2 linked regions of the Caenorhabditis elegans genome follow. The protein of the gene in region 2 interacts with the protein of the main gene of each other region in a pairwise test. Each region holds a gene or a part of one and is shown on either strand. Other genes may lie near its edges.

The links.
Region 1: the proteins of lron-10 (region 2) and ugt-48 interact in a two-hybrid assay, tested with the Caenorhabditis elegans proteins (one large-scale study listed by BioGRID).

The regions. Positions count from the first base shown.
Region 1 is NC_003283.11:5,545,168-5,549,903, reverse strand, and holds ugt-48 (Putative UDP-glucuronosyltransferase ugt-48), read left to right. Parts: upstream 1-1,841; 5' UTR 1,842-1,849; coding exon 1,850-2,111; intron 2,112-2,327; coding exon 2,328-2,426; intron 2,427-2,472; coding exon 2,473-2,608; intron 2,609-2,655; coding exon 2,656-2,853; intron 2,854-2,899; coding exon 2,900-3,053; intron 3,054-3,098; coding exon 3,099-3,263; intron 3,264-3,313; coding exon 3,314-3,612; intron 3,613-3,931; coding exon 3,932-4,199; 3' UTR 4,200-4,235; downstream 4,236-4,736. Other genes in the region: cft-1 (Cystic Fibrosis Transmembrane conductance regulator homolog), read right to left, coding at 4,252-4,357.
Region 2 is NC_003281.10:10,617,313-10,621,985, reverse strand, and holds lron-10 (eLRR (extracellular Leucine-Rich Repeat) ONly), read left to right. Parts: upstream 1-1,775; 5' UTR 1,776-1,777; coding exon 1,778-1,826; intron 1,827-2,690; coding exon 2,691-3,025; intron 3,026-3,753; coding exon 3,754-3,933; 3' UTR 3,934-4,120; downstream 4,121-4,673. Other genes in the region: Cell cycle checkpoint protein hpr-9, read right to left, coding at 19-144, 198-268, 318-429; mrpl-22 (Large ribosomal subunit protein uL22m), read right to left, coding at 4,195-4,379.

The sequences.
Region 1 (4,736 bases), on a different chromosome or scaffold from region 2:
TTGGGTGCTGTTCAAAATGACCGAGAATTTGCTCGCCGAACGTCACGCCCTCCGATGGGTTTTTCTGTACGAGTTCCCCCAAATCTGCAATTGCAACGAAACTCGTCGTAACATGTGTGCAGTGTTAGGCAAGAACTCTGTCACCTATAATACCATGAAGTTTTGGTTCGAAAAGTTCACGAAAAAGAACTACGATCTCGATGATAAACCAAGATAAGATCGCTCTCGTTTGAATATCGACGAGGATATTTCGAGAGCCCTGGAAGATGATCCAAGAGCAACGAACCGCGAACTTTCTGCGACTCTCAAGCATCCCCAAAAAACCATCATCAACCATCTCCACGAAACCGGAAGGGTAGAAAAGTTCGGTCAACTCGTTCCTCACAATTTGCCCGATTCTCAGAAAAATTGTTTTGTGACCTCTCTCTTTCGCTGCTCACTAGGAAACGAACAACGGACTGGGTTAAGGATATCATTACTGGAAATGATAAATGGGTATTGTATGTTAGCCATACCAGGAAAAAAGAGTGGGTCCCGGTCGAGGAAACCGCGACACCTGACCTCAAATTAGAACTTCACGGAAAAAGTGCTTCTCTCAATTGGGCGGGACAGTAAGGGTGTCATTTCCAGAGAGCTTCTTCCAGACTTTGCTACAATCAACGCTGGCCTATACAGCATTTAATTGGAAAAGATGGTCCATGCTCATCGATTACATCGCCCTAGAGGATCAAAGTTGTTGCTGCTCCATGACAACGCAAGACCGCATACAACTTTTAAGACCCGCCAGAAGCTCCAGACAGTCGGAATCCAAATTTTGTCTTACCCATCGTATTCGCCGGGCTTGGCTCCTACTGACTACCATCTGTTCCGCTCACTCCAGAATCACCTTGCCGGGCAGAAGTTTCATGATCGAAAGGTCGTCGAAACGGGGTTGGACGACTTCTTTGCCTCCTAATCGCAGGAGTTCTAGGCGGAGGGTACTGTTCAACTTCCGTTGTGTTGGCAAGAAGTCATAGGCATTAATGGTAAATATATTACCCATTGAATCTTGTTCGCTTTGAAAAAATACTACTTCCAAAAAAAATCAAAATTTTGCAAAGACTTTTCGACCAACCTAATATATGTAAGTTCATCTTTTGATAATTGCCCTCGGCGAAAATTTTCGAAAATTGTCTGCCAAATGCTCGGTTTCCTATCATATTGCGCAATTTTACGTAACTTTTACAAGTACATATAAAAGATTTGCAAGCCATCTATCCGTCAATACGCAGCAGCAGCATTTCCTTGATCTTTTGGGCTTTTGAGCTTTAAGTGCTCTTTGAGTTTTTTTTTAAATTGAAAGCTTTGAATAGAGAAAAGAAAACTTTATGAGAAAAAAATTAGAGCCAATAAAAAAAATAAAAAATTCCTGCCTGTGTGCCTACCAGGCAACCGCAGTAAAAAAGGCGGAGGCCACCTTTACGGCATGTTACGCCTGCCTTAATGGCACAAAGACAGAGAGTTTTGTAACTGCAAAAAGTTATTTATTTGAATAAATTCTTTTTGGTCAACTCTATTTTTTTACAGTAACTTGAATATTTCAGAGATGTCAAAATATTTGACATGGATCTATTAAAAATGATGACTTTTGCAAATATATAGTCATCATAATACCATCAACTTTCACAGTTCACATATTTCTTATCAATTGGAATGGTTAGTACGTACAACTGATAATAATAGTTTCGTTTGCATATACATAATTTCCAATTCTTCTTTTCGGTTTATTTTTGATACTTGTTAAATGATTACTATAACTTTTAAAATAAAAAATTAAACTCTGAAATTCATTTTAATTTCAGCTTTAAAAATGTTGTTACGGATACTCACATTTCTTGCTGTTTGCCAAGTGACTACCTCTCACAAAATCCTGATGTTCTCGCCAACTGCAAGCAAGTCACATATGATCTCACAGGGAAGAATCGCAGATGAGTTGGCGAATGCTGGACACGAGGTTGTGAATTTCGAGCCAGATTTTTTGAATTTAACAGACAAATTTGTGCCATGCAAAAAGTGTAGAAGATGGCCAGTTACTGGATTGAATAACTATAAGTTCAAGAAAATTCAAAATGGTGAGTATTTAAAAATTGATTTTTCACTGATGTTTCTCGAATTACCCAGTAACTTCAAGAAGAGCAAAACTAATTTTTTGTTGAATTTTGTGCCGCCTTAAAAGTTTCGGTAAATCATTTGACAAGTTTCACACAAAAATTCAGTCTTTTGGAATATTTTGAGTGATAAAACGCTAAATAATCTGTACTTATTAGGTACTAAAAATTTATTTTCAGGGTTATCTGGAGACGTATTCCAACAATCTTCAATTTGGAGCAAAATTTTCAATACGGATAGTGATCCATATCAGGATGAATACACAAATATGTGCGAAGGTATGCTCTAAACTGAATTCAAATTTTACTGTATTTTCCGGTTCAGAAATGGTAACGAACAAAGAACTTATCGAAAAACTGAAAAAAGAAAAGTTCGATGCATATTTCGGTGAGCAGATTCATTTGTGTGGAATGGGGTTGGCTCATCTTATAGGCATCAAGCACAGGTTTTGGATTGCCAGGTATTGGTTTTGGTTTTTTAAACTAAAAAGAACATTAAGATTTTCAGTTGCACAATGAGCGTTAGTATGCGTGATAGTCTCGGAATTCCAACGCCGTCCAGCTTGATACCCTTCATGTCAACATTGGACGCTACCCCGGCTCCATTCTGGCAAAGAGCCAAGAACTTTGTGCTCCAAATGGCACATATTAGAGACGAATATAGGGATGTTGTACTGACAAACGATATGTTTAAAAAGAACTTTGGGTAAGAATTTGGGAGATAATTACGTTTAATTAAATAATTTCTACAGATCTGACTTCCCATGTGTCGAATTCTTGGCAAAAACTTCTGATCTTATATTTGTTTCAACAGATGAACTTTTGGAAATTCAAGCTCCCACTCTTTCGAATGTTGTACACATCGGAGGGCTTGGCTTGTCAAGTGAAGGAGGTGGCTTGGACGAGGTTAGTAGAATCTTTCAAACTTTCTTAAAGGCTTCATATATTCAGAAATTTGTGAAAATTATGGAAAAAGGAAAAGGAGTGATTTTATTCTCATTGGGGACAATTGCCAACACTACTAATCTACCACCAACTATCATGGAAAACTTAATGAAGATCACTCAAAAATTCAAAGATTATGAGTTCATAATTAAAGTTGACAAGTTTGATAGAGTAAGAAAATTCCTATAAATCCAAGAAAACTCCCATTTACTCATTTTCAGAGAAGTTTTGATCTTGCTGAGGGACTCTCAAATGTCCTCGTCGTGGATTGGGTTCCCCAAACCGCAGTTCTTGCTCATCCAAGACTGAAAGCATTCATCACACATGCTGGTTACAACAGTTTGATGGAATCTGCCTATGCAGGTGTTCCAGTTATTCTTATTCCATTTATGTTTGATCAACCAAGAAATGGACGGTCTGTCGAGAGAAAAGGATGGGGAATTCTGAGAGATAGGTTCCAGTTGATTAAAGATCCAGATGCGATTGAGGGAGCTATCAAGGAGATTCTCGTTAATCCAACGTTAGTTTTGAACACTTTTTTGAGCACGTCTAAAATTTGTGCTTTACGCTAAAATACTAGAAAAATCGTGCTGATAATTGCTGATAGTTGCGGTAGATTAAATTAATTCTAGTTCCGCCTAGGTGTGTGCGGCAAATTTGCCAAAATTGCCGAATTCACCTAGCTCGCCTAAATTTGAGAATTGCCGCACACCCCTGGTTCCGCCGAAGCTAGTTTTTTGAAGGCCATTTTTGAGGACCATATTTAAAAGAACGTGTATTTCATCCATTTTTTCTAGAAACTTCAAAAATAAAACAATCACCTCTAATTTCATTTTCAGATACCAAGAAAAAGCAAACCGTCTGAAAAAGTTGATGCGTAGCAAGCCTCAATCGGCATCTGAAAGACTGGTTAAAATGACAAATTGGGTGCTGGAAAACGACGGTGTAGAAGAATTGCAATACGAGGGAAAACATATGGACTTTTTCACATTTTACAATCTTGATATCATTATTACTGCAGCTTCGATCCCAGTTTTAATTTTTATTGTTCTTCGAATTTCAAACATTAGTATTATTACGAGTAGCCCAAAAAATAAGAAAGATTAGGTAAATTATTGTTAATTAATAAATGGTAAAAAAAATAAAACAACTTTAAACATCATTTCGAAAAGTTCAAAAGGCATTTTTGAAGGGATCCGAATTCCGAAATCAAGTTTTGTGGAGTGTCCGTTGTGAGAATTACACCATTCTCAATTACAACGACTCTGAAAATAAAGTTTCTTCTGGAGCATATCTAGTTATTGTTTAAAAAATTATGAAGTTTCTAGTTTTCTCAAAAAAAATATTTGATTAAAGATACTCAAAATGGTCTAAAGTGCTGAATTACAATAAAATAAAAATTTAAAAATAGTGAAAGAAAAGATATTCTAGGGTGCGCGGCAATCGGAAATTTCCGGCAATCAGCAATTTCAGCAATTGCAGGTTTTGGAAATTTCCGGCAATCCGAAATTTCAGCAATTGCCGGCTTTGGAAATTTCCGGCCATCGACAATTTCGGCAATTGCCGGTTTTGGAAATTTTTGGCAATTGCCGAAACTGCCGAAATTGCCGAAAATTCGAATGCCGCACGGCAATTGCCGTGCAC
Region 2 (4,673 bases):
TCTGAGATTTCTCCCCACTTTCATCGATAATCTGCAAATATTCACTGCTTTTTTGTTAATCATTGATACATCGCAAGCGTTGAAAAATTCTGGTGCAAAGCGGAACACGCAGAACTTTGAACGGTTCACTGTTTTGAAGAAGAGCTGGAAAAAAACAAAAAAATAATTTTTTAGCCGAAATTTGACTTTTGACTCACCCCGCCTTCGGAAACCTCAATTAACACGTCTTCAGAGATTTTGCTCAGCGCTGCGATGGATCTTGACATAACTGAAAGAAAAATAAATAAATAATCCGGCTAAAACCCAGAAAAAGTCACTTTTAAGATTGGATTGGACCACAAATTGGGCGCCTTTCATATCTTCATGCTGCCTTTCCCTTGTTATTGATGACGATGGATTATCTGTATAATTTTCATGAATGGCTTGCATTTGATTTGAGATTTCCCTGAAATTTCAAGGTTTTTAAAGAGAAAAATTGAAATTCAGAATAAAATTTTGAATAAAAAAGTTTTCCTCTCGAAGTACACGGACGAGAATCCCCCGTCGCTAGGCCATGCGCTGCGGACTCCTCTCGAACGATTTTTTATTTTTTATTTTGATTTGTTTTGTGATTTCTGACATTTTCCCTTCTTTCCCGCGGCGCATGCATTCTCGTGTTTCCACAAGAGAACCGGTATCCCGTGCAGAACATGAAAAGACGAAAAGAAAAACCAGCGATGCGTCATATATCGTTCTTTTTATCCGTCAGGAGGTACGCTGGACATGATAAATGGAGTTTTGTTCCAAACTATTCGGTGTCATGTGCTTTTTTCCTCTTCATTGCTCACACATATCCGCTTCTTCTTCTTCTTCTTCTACCCCGCTTTTCCAAAAAAAACGCAATAAATATTCTTTATTCCTCAGGCTAAAGGTTTCCTGGAGCATCAAAAATCTCAAATTTCGTGGAAAAATTTTTTAGATTTCAGGTTTTAGGCTTACTCAAGTTGTGGAATTTCTGAATTTCAGACTAATTTGGGTATTTTAAATCGAAATCATTATTCCTAAATTCGGTAATTAAAGTCGATTTTATATAATTTAATCGTAGTACTTTTGAGCAGGGCCCTGCAGGGGTGGGTTGCCGTTCGGCAAATTGTTTTGTCGACAAATTCGGCAAATCGGCAAACTGCTGATTTGCCGGATATCAATTTTCCGGAAGTTTTTAAAGGGATTATTTTATAAGTCGGAAGCACTTAAAACTGCCTTTTTGAAATGTTTTCCCGTTTTCTATAGATATTTTCATAGAATTTCCTTAATTTTCAAAATAGATGTAGGAACATTCATAGGATGCGTACAATCTTGCCGATAAAATTGAAATTCTGAAATTTCCAAAAAAAAATGTGCAAAACCACAATTTGACGAAAATTTTAGGCAAATTGGCAATTTGCCGGTTTGCCGATTTGCCGGAATTTTTTACCCCTGCTTTTGACCATTCAAAATTTTCAAATTAAATACCTTAAAATCCCATTAACATAAAAAAAAATGGCATTCCACTTCAAGTACCTCTACGCTGTAAACTGTGGTTGTAAACTAACCGGACCCCCATCCAAATCGATTAAACCACCCCTTCTCCTTTCACATCTGCGTCTCTATTGATATGAATCACTCTCTCATCCAAAATGCCCAACAATCATTTTGTTCCATTGTTTGTTTGAATGTGCCATGTCCACTCTTTGGGTCTCTGTTTGCTTTTCCAATACACTCCTTCTGGATATATATTTCATTTTTGTTTCGTTTAGGCATGACCTCCATCACATCTGCATTTCTTCTTCTTCTCCTCTTTGTGGCAGGTAATATACATAGTTTAAAAAAAATTAATACATCGAAAAAGCAAATCCAATTTATACAACAATATCACATGCATAACTATACAAAAATTTCTCACAAAAAATATCATAGAAAAGAGACCATCTTCAAGTAATTTTGCGGGAAATTATTTGCTGTAACTTTTTACTAGGTATTTCATTTTTAATTCATTAACATTATACAACTTATTCTTGAAGCCGAAACTCTCTATCCTAAAACATGATTTTAAAAGCCACTAATTTCTGAATCGTATTCAAATTTCGCGATTTCAATTTGGATCTTCATAGGCATTTTTAAAGTTGTATTTAATTACAACACGTCATTTTTTCAATTTTACAAGCTAAGAACCTGTAATCTTAATCATCACCGTCTATGTATGCGTATATACGATTTTTAATTACGCAACATTACACGAACGGAGTCTCTATACAAACATAGCGGCTATTTTATGACACATCATCGTGAATTGAGAGATGATACATTAAAAAGTGAACTCTGGGAATCTAGAATCTAGTTTGGATTGTTTTTTGAATTACTCATCATAGTGAATTCATGTGAGTCATGTAAAAAATTGAATGAACAATTGTAAAAGTCAATCAATGGAATGGAATTTGCTTCCGAAAAATGAATGAATACTGCCGAATTAAAAAAGAACATCTAGTAGTTGAAAAATTAATTTAAAAAAACTGAAAACATTTAGAAAATTATTTAAAAAGTATATTTTCTAGCATTTAAAGCAAAAATTCTTCTCCGTCTTTATTTTCTGATTAGTGCCTATTAACGAAATAAACACATAAAACAATTAATACATTCTAGTTAAAATAAATCTAAAATTCCAAAATGTTCAGTTGCCTGCCGATCAGTTCCATGCCTGGACGGATGTACGTGTGAATTGTCAGAACATGATCCAGTGATCAGATGTGATGGCGTTGGTCTCAATCGTTTCCCATTGCCCCATTCATCACCACTTCGCGGTTTCCATTTCCTGGCACTCACTTGCAATGACATTGACACAATTCCGGCGATTAGCATGATCAAAGCATCATTCCCAGATCTTCAGGGAATTGATGTGCAGGGAAATACTCGGTTGAATTGCTCCGATTTGGTGCATTTGCACAAGGATATTCCAGTTTTGTCGGATTGTGATAATGAGAAGCCGTTGCAGTGTGATAATCTTGATAAGGTTCGCGAAAAAGATTTGAAAAATAGAAAAAATAACAGTACTACCAAATTTCAGAGAAAAGCGAAAATTTTCGATTTTTGGTTTTTTTTTCTAATTATGGGAAATCAGGGAAAATAAGACATTTTCTTCCGAAAAATCAACAAAAAAATGTACAAAATTATACGAAAAATTTTGATTTTTCGATATTTTCAAAAAAAAAATTGAAGAACCGATTTTTCATGGCACAACATTATTTTTTGCGGTATAATATAAAAACGATTAAAAAAAACGAAAAACGCGAAAAATCGAATTTTTCCAGAATTTTCAATAAATGACACTCGGAATAGTTACTAAAGTGCAAATTGGTTTAAAATATTTACATTTTCCTAAAAAATTAAAAATTGGATTTTTTTCCAGAAACTTGAATTTTCTACTTAAAATTTGCAATTTTTCCTTTACATTTTACCGAAAATTTGAAAGTTTTCAACAAAACATGATTTTTTTAACCTAAAATTGAATTTTTCACCTGAAAATTCTAACGTTTTCTCAAAAATAAATTTTTCCGACAAATTTAAATTTTTATAAGCTAAAATTGGAGTTTTCCCTGAAAATTTGAAATACCTTAAACAAGTTTTCTTGGCTGAAAATTATTTTTTTTTAATAATAAAAATAGTATTAAAATTGTGTGCTCCTCTCGGAAAATATCACAATTTTTCATATCAAAGATCCAATACCTTAACCTTTTTCAGAACTGTGACTGGAAGTGCCGTACACTGACAAAACTCAAAGAAATGTGGGCTCAATTCAAGGATCTTGTCAACCGAAAAGCCAAAGAATGGCAAGCTGAGGAGACGATCGAGGCGGCGAAAAGCTGGTTCAGTGCTCAATTCAAAAAGTTCAAAATCGCGATTGGCGAGCTCTCCGACTAATTTTTAATTGAAAAATTGTACATATTTTCCTATAACCCTTCCTTCCCAAATTTCTCTTTCCCCATTGGCCAAAACGATTCGCATAATTTGAAAATTGTTGTATCTCATTGTTCTCCCCCAGCCCTTACTTAAGAGATTACGGTAAAAAACAGTATTCACATAAATTTCTATGAATAAAAAACTCATTTTTAAAAAAAATTTTACCAATCGATCAACAAAAATTATAACAAAAAAAAACGAAAAAATTGTCTAAAAAAGTTCCTAAATACTATATTTAACGGTTCGAGAGCGAAGATAATTGTAGTACTCGTCCATATGATCCCAACCATTTTTCTGTGGATGACGTTGTTTTTGCTGTGGAGCCGGACCTTCTTCTAGACGGACGAAAATGTGAATGTATCGGTATCGAATGGTGTTCCAGTTGTCGTGAGCGTGACGGCGGGCTCCTGAAAAAAAGTGACTTGAAAGATATATTTTCCAGAAAACTCATTGAGAACAAATTTAAATTTCTTCTGATTTTTTAATTCTGCAAAAAAATCAGAGAAACTGCCGAATGAATGTTCTAGATCCGATATTTTTGCCTTTTTCTGGCTAAATTAATCAATAAAAATATTATTATTATTATTTTGATATTTGATTTGAAATAATAAATTATTGTTCGTTCGATTTTCAGAGATATTTCTTCGTAAAGAAAACTTGAAAGAAATTGGTGGAAACTTCAAAATTAGCCTAAAAATTGA